2 linked regions of the Callithrix jacchus genome follow. Each later gene encodes a partner of the first gene's protein in a complex. Links are inferred from orthologs where the notes say so. Each region holds a gene or a part of one and is shown on either strand. Other genes may lie near its edges.

Evidence for each region. The genes of interacting proteins can lie anywhere in the genome.
Region 2: the proteins of BMP10 (region 1) and ACVRL1 are in contact, whole or in part, in a crystal structure (PDB 6SF1), measured with the Homo sapiens proteins. The link is inferred for Callithrix jacchus from reciprocal best matches to the Homo sapiens genes BMP10 and ACVRL1. Residues at the interface, in NP_055297.1 of Homo sapiens: Tyr322, Asn357, Tyr358, Pro359, Ala361, Glu362, His363, Pro366, Thr367, Lys368, Ile371, Leu375, Leu378, Lys379, Ser381, Lys386; in NP_000011.2 of Homo sapiens: His40, Val54, Val56, Arg57, Glu58, Glu59, His66, Gly70, Asn71, Leu72, His73, Glu75, Leu76, Phe84, Val85, His87.

The regions. Positions count from the first base shown.
Region 1 is NC_133515.1:45,060,910-45,068,660, forward strand, and holds the start of BMP10 (bone morphogenetic protein 10), read left to right. Parts: upstream 1-3,249; 5' UTR 3,250-3,287; coding exon 3,288-3,621; intron 3,622-7,751. UniProt on the Homo sapiens protein: Required for maintaining the proliferative activity of embryonic cardiomyocytes by preventing premature activation of the negative cell cycle regulator CDKN1C/p57KIP and maintaining the required expression levels of cardiogenic factors such as MEF2C and NKX2-5.
Region 2 is NC_133510.1:67,565,952-67,573,590, reverse strand, and holds the start of ACVRL1 (activin receptor type-1-like), read left to right. Parts: upstream 1-3,230; 5' UTR 3,231-3,403; intron 3,404-7,639. UniProt on the Homo sapiens protein: Type I receptor for TGF-beta family ligands BMP9/GDF2 and BMP10 and important regulator of normal blood vessel development. On ligand binding, forms a receptor complex consisting of two type II and two type I transmembrane serine/threonine kinases.

The DNA.
Region 1 (7,751 bases):
AAGGCTGGGCGCGGTGGCTCAAGCCTGTAATCCCAGCGCTTTGGGAGGCAGAGGCGGGTGGATCATGAGGTCAAGAGATCGAGACCATCCTGGTCAACATGGTGAAACCCTGTCTCTACTAAAAATACAAAAAATTAGCTGGGCATGGTGGCATGTGTCTGTAATCCCAGCTACTCAGGAGGCTAAGGCAGGAGAATTGCCTGAACCCAGGAGGTGGACGTTGCAGTGAGCCAAGATCGTGCCATTGAACTCCAGCCTGGGTAACAAGAGCGAAACTCTGCCTCAAAAAAAAAAAAAAAAAAAAAAGAGTCATCAGAAAAAGCTTCTAGAGAAAAACATGGCATAAAGAGACTCTGTGACTAAGATGTGAGGTGTCCCAGGCCTAGAAGAAGGAGGGAGAGTATGTCCCCTTCTTCCAAGCATGAAGCCAACCTCTTTCCTTGTCCACCCAGCACAGGTGTGGGTTTAAGAACCTTCACCGAGCATGCATCTCATGATATTCTGATATCTTGCGATATCTGATATATGGCTATAGTCATTTTCCTATGGCTATAGTCATTTCCCCACTGTATCTCTTAATCATCCCCAAAGATAAACATGGATCCAAATATTTAACCCTTTAGTTTTTCTAACACCAAGTATAGGTAAGCCACTGAAGTCTCAGTTAACGTTTTTATGCCCAAGAGCGTCAAGAACTAGAACTCTGCAATGTGGGATGTATGTCTCTCCCTATGACCTTTGAAATCAGTGTGCTCAGAGGTTATATGTGCCTCCACTTACACAGCTGTCCTGTGGCAGTTACACACACATGCCTGACATTCAGAGTTTTGGAGTGTGCGTTGACATCTGTGTGTGTATAAAGATAAATGGGTGCTTACTTGGATGCAAGACATGATACAAGGCATTGTTGGTATGCTGTCAGGAACCTCATGTTAAAACAAACCATCCGAGGGAAGGCTTCTGGCCCTTGGACTCACTCACTTGTGGGACTATTCAGGATATAATCTGTCTCCAGTCTACAGTTGTCTTTTCACTACGGGAGCAAAAGTTTGAATCAAAATCGAACATTAAACCAAAATCAACAGCTATTAAACAAATGGACAATTAATAGCTACTAAACAAAATATGGTTCTTTCTATGGTGATAAAAAAATGGCTGTAACACTGTACATTTTAGGAGGAAAAAGAATCAGAAGATGACTAGAAACCTAAGGGAGCCTGGAGGAAAAGCCAAGTGGAAACATTGTAGCTAATCAATTAGAATCAACATAGGATAATTTAAGATAGAAACTGAGAAAGCATTCCAGTGAACTGAGTATCTCCACAGAGCCCTCTGAACAGCACAGGATGTATCAGTAATGGAACAGGGTGCGCACTGGGCAAGTCAGAAAGATACCAGTACTACCACCTCAGGGGGAGAAACATCCCCTGGGGTTGTCCACAGGGCCACTCTGGCTGTACCACGGCTGCTACTGTCACTAGTTAGGGTGGAAAATGTGATGAACCTGATTTGTCTTTCCTAATCTGTACACACAATCAACTATACCATTAAAAAATTTTTAGGACCAAGGCATTTGGCATTTTTTGTGTGCCTGGTAATGTTTGCGAAGTGTATTAGTCAGAGTTCTCTAGAGGGACAGAGATTTGACTCAACGTCCACACACACACACACACACACACACACACACACACACACACACACACATATATATGGGAGTTTATTAAGTATTAACTCACACGATCACAAGGTCCCACAATAGGCTGTGCACAAGCTGAGGAGCAAGGAGAGCCAGTCCAAGTCTCAAAATTGAAGAACTTGGAATCTGATGTTTGAGAGCAGGAAGCATCCAGCACAGGACAAAAATGTAGGCTGGGTGGTTAGGCCAGTCTAGTCTTTTCACATTTTTCTGCCTGCTTTATATTCTAGCCTCACTGGTGGCTGATTAGATGATGCCCACCCAGATTAAGGGTGGGTCTGCCTTCCCCAGCCCACTGACTCAAATGTCAATCTTCTTTGGCAACGCCCTCACAGACAAACCCAGGATCAATATTTTGCATCTTGCAATCCAATCAAGTTGACAATCAGTATTAACCATCACACCAAGCTTTTGCTGGAGCCTCTAGATGACAATTCTGATTGAGTCAGAAGGACGAAGTTGGCAGAGATGCTGGTCATATTAAGAATTCTTTGCACAGGTGGAGGACCTGAGGTACACATCCAGCTGCAAACTGCTGTCTGCCTCCTGCCTCCAGGCTGATCTGGGGATGGGTTGGCCTCTCACCATTATTGCCCATGCCCTAGTCTGGTGAAATATAAGTGGTTTAAAGGTGTGAACTGTTTTCTTTTTCATCAGAATCAGACTGCCTTGGTTCAAACAGTGGCTCCATCATCTTACAACTTTTTGGCCTCTGGCAATCTATGGAACCTTACTGACCCATATATGTGATGGAGATAGTGATAGGGTTATTGCAGGAGCATGCTAGACGATAGACGTAAAGCACTCAGTACAATGCCTGATTGTAGGAACATCTACTAAATTTTAGTTGCCACTATAATTAAGGACTTGCCCTATTTTTCAAATGCCATTTTAGCCAGATCAAATAGGTAGGAAAGAGACTATGGATCATAAAGTTTATACTTTCTTGTTTCTAAAAATGAATGCTTGGAAAAATTTATATAAATTCATTTATAGCTGAATGAAAGTTTGGACATTTGATCTGTCTTCAGAAGTATTTATTTGAGGATGTAGGCCCTACCACTCAAATTGATATGTATCACCACTGATGTGCATTATGTTGCTTCTTATACCTATTAACTGATGTGCATTATGTTGCTTCTTATACCTATTATATGTATGTGTGAAACTAAGCCTATAAAAACGGAATTTAGACATTCCTGCTGAAAGGAAGTGAATCAAAGGGAAGAGAAGCAGAGCCTTTGCAAGGAGAAAATTGTCCTATCTTTCAACCAGTGTCAGAATGTGAAAATGTTTACAAAATGCTCATTAAAAGAAATAGGGATTACAAGATAGAAACAAATTCTGGTGCACAAGTTTACACTAGGGAGATAAGAAAGGCTAGGCCCCTATAGGGGATTTTGTTATCCAATTACTGCAACCTGACTTTTAGGGGGAGAGGAAGAGTGGTAGGGGGAGGAAGAGAGAGAGGAAGAGTTTCCAAACTTGTCTCCAGTGACAGGAGACAATTACGCCCCACAAGATAAAACTGCCACTTAGAGCCCAGGAGAGCTAAACCTTCCTGGCTTGGCCTAGGGGCTTGAGCGGAGTCATGGGCTCTCCGGTCCTGACACTGTGCACTCTTCTCTGCCTGGTGGCTCACTTGGTTTCTGGCAGCCCCATCATGAGCCTAGACCAGTCTCCTCTAGAAGAAGATGTGCCCCTCTTTGATGATGTTTTCTCAGAGCAAGATGGTGTTGACTTTAGCACATTGCTCCAGAGCATGAAGAATGAGTTTCTCAAGACACTAAACCTGTCTGACATCCCCACGGAGGATTCAGCCAAGGTAGACCCACCAGAGTACATGCTGGAACTCTATAACAAATTTGCAACAGATCGAACCTCCATGCCCTCTGCCAACATCATTAGGAGTTTCAAGAATGAAGGTAAGTTTTTGCTGATGAAATTTGGCTTGGAATTTTTTCAAGACACAATAAGTAAATTTACAATGCCTGGGAATGATATAGGTAAAGGTAAATACATCTATATAAGGATGTTAAATACATATGGATACACAAAAACAAGGTACGATTTGGTCTATACTATTTATGCAGTCATTTCAGAACCTCAAAAATACTTACAAACATCTTTTACAAACAACCCAAAGCCACAAAACACCTATCAATTTGACATTATAATTGGGTTCTTTTAAAAAATGTTAATTTGAACACCAAGTAATACAAAGCATTAATGTTGCCGTATCTTTGCCATTTTCCAGATAGGCCTTGGTTGCCTAGGTGTTTAATTAACTAAAAAATTTCTCAACTTCCACTTAGAATAAAAAGAATAAAAACAGTCAAAAAACATCAAGTTGTGATGTGTGTTTTGTTCAAACTTTTGATGTTTTTATTTTGTGATGTTGTTTAAGAAATGTTCAAACAGTATGGAAATATATTTTAGAGATTCTTCCTAAGGCTGTGTTGTTTGATGTGTCATGTACATCCTTAAAGCACTGTTTACAGTTTCCAGGAAGTGTGATTGGCCCATTAATCATCCAGCTCATCATTTCCATCTTCATGAAGAGTGATGTACAAGATTGAATTATTGGTGAGAAAAGTGTGTTTTCTTCTCCTAGGTGTTTAAATTTGGTAGCTAAATCTAATGAGTTAATTTTTTTTCTTAATAGCTTAATTTGATCCTATCAGGGGAAAGAAAATCCTGATATCTAGATACCTATGATAGAAGCTGAAGGTCCAAATAACTAATTCTTTAATATTTGCCAATTATACCATTATAGTCACTAACCAGGTACAAAAGAGGCTTCTGATTAATATTGGCCAGATGTTCTTGAAAGAAGAAAGGCAGTGGTGAAGAAACAGCTCAGGATATGGAATTTTGAGAGCTGGTTGGCTTAGTGGTTGTGAATAATTAGCTCATGTCTCAGACTCTCAATTTCCTCATCTGTAAAGCGGGGGTAATAATACCTGCATAAAAAAGTTGAGTGATTCAAAAGAGGTTACAGGTAAGAAAGTACTCCATTTGCTATGAAGTGCTGATCAAACTTCAGTGATTACTAATGAGTTACTTAATATTCTAGCTGCTGGAATAAATGCTGAGTGGGTATTCCTTAGTCCCTAAGATGTTGTTTGCCTTTAAAATTGAGTTGGCCGCCAAAAGTTCTATTTCATAACATCTTTCTCATGGAAATGGCAAGCTGAGATTACAGATTCCTTTTGGAGGTGAGTCTGAATTGAAAATGAATAACCTCCTCCTGTGAGAATCCCCCCCACCCCAATACTTCTCAAAACTGAGCCCTAAGTGTCTGGTTCAGGTGAACTAGGGTATGGGTGAGAAAATGTTATTTGCATCCCCAGAAAAGTAGAAAAGTTTTCAGTTCCTACTTCTCTCAAAGAGTATCTGGATAACTCAGGTCAGTATCTGGAGTTTACTGTACTTATTAATCCTGGAGATTATTGAGGGCAGGAACACATCTCCAGTAAACAACTGTGCAGCCTGAGGACAGAAATCACTGCACAGGGCATGCCTTGCTAGCTACTATTGCCTCTTTTCTGACTCTTTGGGTCTGCTTAATGCAGCTCCCTAGGAGACAAAGACAAAAAAAAAAAAAAGTCAAAACCTATCTCATCTTGGGAAAAAAGTGCCACCTCCAATGTGAAAAAAGCATGCCCTCAATTCCTAGCACTGTTCCTTTATCACCTTGTCATCTGGGGAAGTCAGTTCTCTGCATCAGGGCTTGATTTCTTCTGGTGCAAAATGGGTAGAGAATCAATACCTGCATTGTGGGGTCATTGTGAGAACCAGAGAAGATCATGCTTGCAAAGCACCTGGCATGAGAAATTTGTCAACAAACATTAGTTCTCTTGCCCTGAAATGTAACTCTTCCATTTACTGCTTACTGCATTTGCACATTCACAAAACTTCCCAGTGAACTTACTTTTTCAAAACAGTTTTATTGAGGCATAATTTACTTATAGAAAATAAGACATATAAAAATATTGATGTATAAAAGTATAATTGTACATATTTAAAGTGTATAATTGGAAAGGTTTTGACCTCTGTAAACATTCATTGAAATCATCAGCACAATCAAGATCATGAATTTATCCATTAGCACCAAAAGCTTCCTTGTATGCTTTACTGCCTTCCTCCTACTACAGTGAGCTTTTATTCTATACTTCTCTCCTGGGTAGAACAACCAGCCTATTCCTCCATTTTGGGTCTTCTCATGTTCCCTGTCCATGGGGAGACAAGTCTCCTCCCTTCTTAGACTGGGAGAATAAATCCTAAGCCACTGACTTAAGAGCTTGATGATGGATTAAGGTCATATGTCATGCCCATAAATCAATTTAATCTGATGCCTAAAATCATCAGCTAATCAATATTTTTAAAGCACTACCTCTGTTTAAGCCCTTATAGTAGGATAGAGACATAGAAGGGAGTTTTGAGCCATTCATACCAGGAGGATGGGAGTCTAGTTGGGAAAATCCATTCATAAAAAGATGACTGAAATACAAGGTTGTAAATGACAAGGATCAAAGGAGATATAAAGTGCTCAAGTGATTCAGAGGGGAGGGAGGGAACTTTCAGAAAGAGAAGTAAGGAAGGGAGGCTTTTATAGATGTCAGAGTTGGATAGGTGGAGGTGAGGTGAAAGGGCTTTCCAAGGGTCAGAAGAACATGTGAAAAGGTGAAAATTACAGGGGAAAAAAGAATGTTTGACAGGTGGTAAAGATGTCAATGTAGTTGAAACAGAAGGGTTTACAAATCCATTCAATTGTTCACAAATATTATTGAGTGATCACAATGTTCCATGCATTTATGGAAGCCATGGCTGATCTGGAGGCTAAGACCCAGATATAGCTGACCTTGAGAGCCATGCCAGGGAGTTTAAATTCATTCAGTAGGTTAGCATTTCCCACTGACAATGTGTAAGATGATTTTAGGTGGTACCCATAGAAAGCTATTAATTATGTGAAATCATTTCATGTGGATTTTAGCAAACACACATAAGTATCACCTCAAATCTCTCCTTTTATGAATGATGTTGCTTAGGATAAGTCTAAAATAGATAATAAGTGCAAAATAATCAGAGCAAGTTAAAGGAAAATATTAAAAGATTATAATCTGCAACAGGGACTCACTGAGATCATGAATTAAGTATATACTTGGTGAAATGCTGCCAAAGATGACAGAGAATTTCTAAATTGGTGGTCCTTAGCATCTTTGGTGCTGTGGATCCCTTTGAGAATCTGATGGCAAATGCCTTCAGGGCTTCCTTATATGCTCATTACCTGAGACAAGTATGCAGAAGCTTTGGGCTCACTGTAACTTCAGATAGGAAGTCAACATGACAGTATTTGGAGGTATGCTTCCAAGACTAAGATTAGAAGTGTGCTTCTAAGACTTTTACAGAGTTGTTTCATAAACATTCTTGAGTGAGTTGTATGTACCATACTTCATGCCAGGTGCTAGGGGTATAAGAGTAGTGCTAGGGGTATAAGACTAAGGCAACCACTCTAGTTCCAGGATTCATTTTCTCCCATTCCTCTTTACAGAGGACCATATACTCAAAATCGACTGCTGTGACCTTCTTGGTTTATGGCTGTCTTATTGACCTTGTCAGGTTTTGTTGCTGAGAACAGAAGTCAGCAAGCTTATTCTGTAAAGGGTCAGACAGATAATAACTATTTTAAGCTTTGAAGGCCATATGCTCTCTGTTGTGACTATTGAACTCTGCCATTGTAGTGCAAAAGTAGCCATAGACAATACAAAAACAATGTATGAGGCTGTGTTCCAATAAAACTTTACCCAAAAGCAGGTACCAGGCTAATTTTGGCCCATAGGCTATAAGTTACCAAACTCTGATACATATGGAAGCCTTTTAGGAAGACCAGTGCCCAGCTAACTATGTAGGGATCTCCACCCACTACAAACACAAAAATTAAAACACCATGGGGTCCTCATCCCTGACAAGAAAAGAACAATCACCACATGTCCCATTTGGTGGCTCTTTGTTGGTTAGGAAATTTGGGGACTTGCCCACACAATTTCCAAGG
Region 2 (7,639 bases), on another chromosome or scaffold:
GACCTGAGAGCCTGTTAGAAGCAAATTTTCTGGTGCCGCAAAAGAAATAGCACTTGAATATAAATTTCCTCAGCAAGGCATTTTACTTCTATAGAAGGGTGCATCTTGCTGATAGAGCAACAGCAAGAGCACACCTGAACAAGGGAGGGAAAGGGGTTCTTATCCCTGATGCAGGTAGCCCCTACTGCTTTGTCATTCCCCTATTGGCTAGGGTTAGACCACACGGTCTAAGCTAATTCCAACTGGTTATTTTAAAGAGAGCAGGGGTACAAGCCAGAGTGGCGGAGTGAGCAGTTTCAGCAGGTAAGAAGGTTACTGAATAGGTGACTAAAGGTGACTCAGGTCACAGCAAGTGACCAAGGTGACTCAGGACAGAGCAGGTGACCAGGGTGACTCAGGACAGAGCAGGTGACCAGGGGAACAGATGTCAACTACTGATTGGAACTGATAGAAAAGTTGTTTACTGAAACTAGGGGCAAGGGGATGAGGAGAATGAGGAAGTTAAACTTTCAAATGGAGAACAAAGAACTGAACATACTGACACACTGATTCTTTGAAGAGAAATTTAGAACTCACTGTATTTAACACACCACTGCACTCCAGCCTGGGTGAAACTGTGAGATTTTGTCTCAAAAAAAAAAAAAAAAAAAGAATGATCCTTGAACGTAATACTCATAGCTGGTCCTGAAAGGTCAAGGTGTCCATTGCCCTGCCTTCCTGACAGATTCATGTCACCCGCCTTCCACTGATGAGAATCTTCTGAAGTTTCACCCCACACAGAATCTCCAGGCCTCTGCTTCCGGCACTGTTGGGAAATCCTTCTGAGTATCTAAATCTAAATCTTCGTCCTTTGGGCCTGTTTCCTCTTGTTCTGTCCTCATTGAATATGGGGAACAGCTGGTCCCTCTGAGTCATTAATTCTTGTAGACTTGGACACACTCCGTAATTCCTTTTCCCTTTTCTCATTGGGATGATTCTCCAGCGCTTTCTCCAACTCTGAGTCTCTAACTCTGACACTTCCCCCAGGATCTCTGTGTGCTTTAGAAGCCATGGGGTTCACAAGAGCCTCAAAGAGCACCAGTCAGGGTCCAGAGGCCTTAGTGCTCCGGGGAGGTGGGGGAGACTCCAGCACTGATGAACAGTCCCCAGCCCCCCAGGTCCTCTCTTCCAGCTCCCAAAATGTACTCTATTTTTATCTATTTCACAAACTCTGTCCAGATAGTCTTCCATCCCGCACTGACTGTCAGAAGTGACTCTCAGCTGTTGTCCATCTTGAAGTTTCTGTGCTCAGTGTGCCTCTCAGACTGAAAACTTCCCTCTGGAAGCCCCCACTCTCGCTTCCCAGGACAGAGATTCACCAGCTGGGAGAGGAAAAGGTTGACCAGAAGCCATAGCAGAGCAGGGGGAGGGAGGGAGTGTGAAAGACAGACCTGCAGCCAGGCTCCCAGTTCTCCAGCTCATAGAGATCCCAAGTGGCCACTATAATCTGAAAGAGCAGATATCGTAATCCCATAGTACTTCCTATTGGCCTCAGGACACAGTTCTGTCCTGACACTGAAATTTGGGTGTGTCAGGGTTCTGGGAATTCACAACTTGTGAAGCAGCTGCAGGGTGGGGGGTGGGGCTTCAGCAGAGGAAGTGAGGTCAGTCAATAATTGATGCCTGCCTGAGCCTTTAGCCATTATCTCCCCCAGCCTCTATTCCTGTCAAAAGTCGGTGGGGGAGGGGTCCCTGGCTCATCTTGCAGAATCCCCATATTAGAGCAAGACACCTTAGAGGTCCACCTACTCCTGCTTCTAATACCCACATCTTTCTAAGTATCTTTGAGGCCACCCCCTCCCCAGCCTTTTCATTTATTCATTTAATTAACAAATGCCTTCATTGAGGGCCTCCTCTGAGTCAGGCTCAGCCAGCCAGCATCTTTGCCATGAGCTGAGATAAGCATCATTTCCTTCTATTCTCACAACCACCCTATGAGGCTGGCACCGTTTACTATGCCTATTTAGCAGATGGGGGACTGAAGCATGGAGAGGTGTCACTAGCTCACTAGCCTACGGTAACACAACCAGCCTGGATTCCTAGTAGGTAGTTTGACTTCAGAGTCCCTGTGGATAACCAGGAGGCTAGGACTAAGGTCAGGGTCCTGCAGGTGCTCAGACGGTTGCAGCAAAGCAAGGCAGTAAGGACAGTGCTCCCAGCCGGTGCAGGGGCACCAGGAGGAAGAGTCTGTGTCCCCCTCCCCTGCCAGTGTGAAGCCATTCTGCTTCCCTCCCCAGCTGCCTTGTGTCAGCAGTATTCCAGAGAGGCCCAGTTCCCCACCTCTATCTAAAGTTCCATTTGCTGGGGTGGGGGCCCCGCCTGGAAGGGGAAGGTCCAAGGCAGCTCCCAACGTGTTTCTCCATTCTGACTGTCCGTGGGGGAGCAGGGGTGTCTTTGTCACCCAGCTGCACAGCAGCAAGGAAGGGCACCAACCATCCTCAGGGCTAACCCCAGGCCTTCCCTCTGGGCCTGTATACCCCTGTGCTGAGCACCAATGGGGAGAGGCTGCTGAAGAGAGGAGGGGACAAATGGGGGATGAAGGGGCCTGAGGGAGGAGACTGAAGGATTTGGGCCAAATAGGGAGTTCTCGAGAGCGGAGCCAAAATTTATCTGAACTTTTGCTAGCTCCAAACTCTACGCTCACTGCTCCGAGCCTCCTAGACCGAGGACCCCGGACTGAGGGTGGGGTAAGGACAGGTAGTGTCCCTCCCTGTCCCACCCCGGCCTCTCCCTTCCTTGGTGGCCCCTTCCCCGCGCCCCGATTCCAGGCAGCCCCTTGGCTACTGTGAGCCGACCGCCCTTTACCCCCACCCACTACTCCCGCCGCCAGACGTTGCCTACAGTCTTGGCTCTAGCTCCCACAGCTGTGGGCGCAGACCCCACGGGACCCCCACGGGACCCTCACGGACCGAGTCCAAGGCCCGCCCCCTCGGGGAGGCGGATGTGGGAGGCTTGGCTCCCGGCGCGGGTCAGCGGATCCAGGAGCTGCGGGCGGCTGGGAGGGGCGGCCGCGCCGGGGGGCTGGGAGCGGCGCGGGGGAGGGTCTTGGTCCTGCAGCCCCAGCGAGGGGCGAGCGGCGGCCAGTCAGCGAGTTGGGCAATAAGGAAACGGTTTATTAAGAGGGAGTGGTGGAGCCGGGCCAGGCAGGAAGACGCTGGAATAAGAAATATTTTTGCTCCAGCCCCCTTTCCAGTCCCGGGAGGCCGCAGGGCCAGCGGCGCCGAGCCAGCCCCTCCCCGGTTCCAGCCGCGCCCGGACCCGGCCCGCCGTCCAGCTTTCGCCGTGCACCCGTGGCCGCGCGGTGGAGGGGAGGTGGCCCCGGCCGGCAGGCTCGCGCCCCGCCACCAGCAGAGCGGGCCCAGAGGTGAGTCGAGGTCCGCGGGCGGGACCGGGTGGCGGGCGGCCTCACCCCCGCTTCCGTGGGCCCTTCCTTCGGGCGGACCCGAGTCCCCGCAGAGTGGTCGCAGTAGGATCAGTCCCAGGTCATCAGGAACGCAAGCTGCCCCTGGCTGACTGCGCACAGCTGCCGGTGACCCTACCTGAGACTTGGAGGGAGCTGGACGAGACCGGACTGGAAATCAGAAACTTGGCTCTAGTCGGGTGACCTGGCTTCAGTCACATCACTTCTCTATTCTCCTACCCTCTCCATAAAATGCGCAGAGGGATTCATGTCTTGCTCTACTCACATAGAAGGGATCACACGTTCTGCCAGGCCTCTGGGTGGACCTGGAGTGAATGCCCGCGTCCACAGCTGGTGAGCCTCCCCGCAGAGCTCACCTTTCCCAGACCAGCCCTTGCAGCTGTTTGCTTCAGGAATCTGACACTATCACTACAATCCACGAGCCTCACCCCAGCCCTGCATCCTCAGGTCATCTCCATGCCACGGCCTTCCTTCAGGATCCCAGCCAAAGGCGATCCCAGTCTCCCTCCAGGCTGGGACCCCAGATTTCCCACCTGTCCTGGAGGCCAGTGCGGCGAAACCCATGGCTGGTCTGGCTGCCCCAGCTCCTCTTTCCTTCTCCAAGGATGGGGGCATCATGGACAATTGCTCTCACCCTCTCTATTGATGGGCACCTGCTGGCTGAGTCAGGGTCTGTCCTAATACCTGTCCATTCGCCTGTCCTCCCATTTCATTGGTTTGTTAGAAATAGCTATCATTGATTGATTACTTACTAGTAAACACTTAGATATGTTTTTTCTCATGTAATCCTGGCCACAACCTAGTGGAAAAGGGGTTACTATGCCCATCCTACAGAAAGGAAACAGACTTGAATAACTTCTCCGAAGCTCCTTGGATAGTGGGGTAAATGGCATGGTTGGGGTCTTGATAACATTTAAGTGCTTACTGTGTACTACTTAGTACTCTGCTAAATAATCTTACTACATTTTACCTATGAGATAACACTGTTATTATTCCCATTTTACATATGATGGGAAGCCTTAGCCTCAGAAAGTTTAAGTAACTTGTCTCAAATCTCATACCTCTAAGTGGCAAAGGCAGGACTTGAACCTAAGCCTCCATGGTCCAAAGCCTACACCTTAACCTCTGTGCTATACTGTGCTGCCCCTGTGGTCTGCCTGAGACCTGAAACTCCAGCCTTGTTCTGCTGCATCACCCTGCTGTGAGGGGCTAATAAATCACATGGATGAATTGTGAGGGAAACCCAATATGAACAGCTGGGTCTGGTCCTCTGCTGTTGGGATAAGGTCTACTGAAGTGCAGAGTGAGCCCAGAAGCTTGTGCTTGACATGGTGCTTCTCCAGCCCTGTGACAATCACTGCTGTGCTGAGCCACTGCCACTGATGGGAGTGGGTCCTTCAGGTGTGCTGCGGAGAAAAAGGTGGATAAGCAACTTTAAGGCATGCCACTACTCTGGCTCCCCCCACCTGAGGCTCAAACTTTGACGAAGCCTATGGCAATCAGATGATTTCTAGGCAGCAACCCATCTTTGTTGCCTGGGGCAACATAGTGAGACCCTGTCTCTACCAAAAAGTAAAAGATTAACTGGGCATGGTGCTGCACCCCTGTAGTCCTAGCTACTTGGGAGGCTGAGGTGGGAGGCTCACTTGAGCCCAGGAGTTCAAGGCTGCAGTGAGCTATGACTATACCATTGTAGTCCAGCTTGGGTGACTGAGCAAGACCCTGTCTCAAGAAAAATTAAAAACAAACAAAAACACTGTCTGCATTTAAACAAATCTAAGTAGGGCATCTGTTAATAACAGCAGCGGACAATTTGTTTGTGTCCACCAAAACCCACGTCTTTTTCTTCCTTCGAGGGATTCATCTAAACAATTGGAGGAATAACAACAACCAAGGAAGGATTTATCAGCAATTTAACTTTATTAAGACACGCTTGGTGACTATAGGCAAGAGACTTAACATCTTCGAGCCTCAGTTTCCCCCATTGGATTGTTGCAATGATCAAATCAGATAAACCATTAAAGTTCAGTACTTAGCACATAATTAGTACTCAGAGAAGGTTAACTGTTATTATTTCATGGTGTTTAGCTAATGTTTGAAATTAGTTTAACGTTTGTAATTTCTGGCCAACAACAGTGATGCTTCTGTCAGCAGGCGATTTTTCTCAAAGTTTTGCTCAGAAGTGAAAGGATCCCGCCAGACCCCAGGAGTCTGTTTGTGCTACGGTCAGGTTTCAGGGCAAATTGCACAGGGTCAGCTCTGAGTTTGGACTGGTCAGGACTCAGCACCCTCCCGTACTTGACCTCACACTGGGCCCAGTTAAACATTGGGCTGTTCCAATTTGACTCCATCATATTCCCAGGATGAGACCATTGATGGGTCTGCAGACGCAGCCAAGCCTTGCTCCACAGCGCCACCAAGTCCCGGCTTTGGTGTTAGCCCCGGCTGTCCCTTCTCCTCTAGGAGATGGGGAGGTTCCTGGGTGGGAGTGAGTGTCCCCTCCCTCTGCATCCCACTCCCACTACCCAGCAGGGCCCTGCAGAGCAAAATGAAAGCAGAGGAACCAGACTTCACGTTGTGCAGGATCTGTTTCTCAAAGAGTGGTGCCCACACAAATGGAGCAGAACTCCCTGGGGAACTTCTAAAAAAGTGTGTGTTTCTTGCTGGTTCCAGGACTGAATCAGAATCTGGAGTGAGGTTGAGACCAGTGAATGTGCTTTTCTAATTGAGAACTTCAGGTGATTCTGATGTGTGATAACGTAGAAGGAGGGTGGACAGGGCCATGGTCATCAGAGAAGCAGAGGTACGGACAGAGGGTCCTAGAGGGATGCTGGATGTGAGCCTTATTGTTAGTCACTTTTTTCTTCTCACCTCAAACCCTCTCCTTTGCAGCTTCCTGGGCTAGCACAGGCTGCCAAGGATGGCTTGCTGCTAGTACCCCAGTGAGCAGACTCAGCTCCTCTGGGGCGCTCTCTCCATCCCATCCCACCTCCAGTCCGCCGCACAGTGCTCACCAGAGTCCTCACTGGCTGCGGGAGGGGCAAGAGGCAGGAGGTCAGGCAGAGTCTGGGGACACAGCTGCAGCAGCCCAGGGCTCTGTTTCCTTTCCCAGCCTGGGCCTCTGGGGCAGAGGAAGCCCAGGCAGGAAGGCCAGAGCTGCCACCAGCTAGAGAGCCCCAAGAAGCCCCCACCACCTACCCCCAGCCATACTGCCCTCGGCGCCTCAGCGTCTTGGGTTTTCATTTGGCACCATTCGTAAACTATAGGCCTTCTGAAGCTTCTGTGGCCATATGCCCAGCCCTACCAGCCTCACCACGTCATGCCAAAGGACAGTCTTCCTCCCTTGTGCCTGAGGATCCAGTCCCCAGACACACACACCTGCACATGTGCCACCATTCAGAAAGTTCTTGCTGCTGTCTGACCAGGGTCCTTCTTGCTGCAGCTTTAACCCATATCTTCTGGTTTTAAACCTCGGAGAAATGAAGACTGGGTGGCTTCAGAAGCACTAGTTGGTGTGGGACCTGGATTGGGGATGATCCTAGACCAGAATTATTCCAGGCAACAATCTCCACCAAACTTCTGGAAAATTCAACCCTAGTCAGCCATAGAAGGTCAAACATTCAGTGTCTAAGTGTGTTTCACTTCCCCTGCCACATCACTGGGCCTCCCCCACCCTTTCCTAGATGGCAAGGAGAGAGAAGGGGGCCAGGGAACGGCTCAGAGAGCTTATGCTCCTGTGAGGCTGCAGAGAGGTTCCTCTGCACGTGGCGTGACCCTGCGCCGTCCAAGCTTTGCGCGGTCGTCACAACCCTGAGGGCTCAGACATGGGCTGCCAGCACTGGGTAGGGATGGGACTAGGAGTCTGGAAACCTGGGTTGTACTCCTGCTGGTGCCAGTGAGTCCTGTCTGACCCCAGACAAGTCTTCTTCCCTGTATGGGCCTTAATCCTCTCTTCTGTGAAAACAAGGAGCTGGAATTTGTGATTCACAAGATGTCCACCTAGAATTCTGTCATGTGGGTGTCCCAGGCACAAGCAACTAAGGGAAGCAGGGAACTAAGTATTTAAGTAGCCCCTCCAGACCTTGTGGCTGCTGCAGCCTGCCCCGAAAATATGCCCTCAGTTCACGGCTGTGCGTGACTCCTGTCTGGTCTATCCAGACCCCAATCTAAACAATCTTG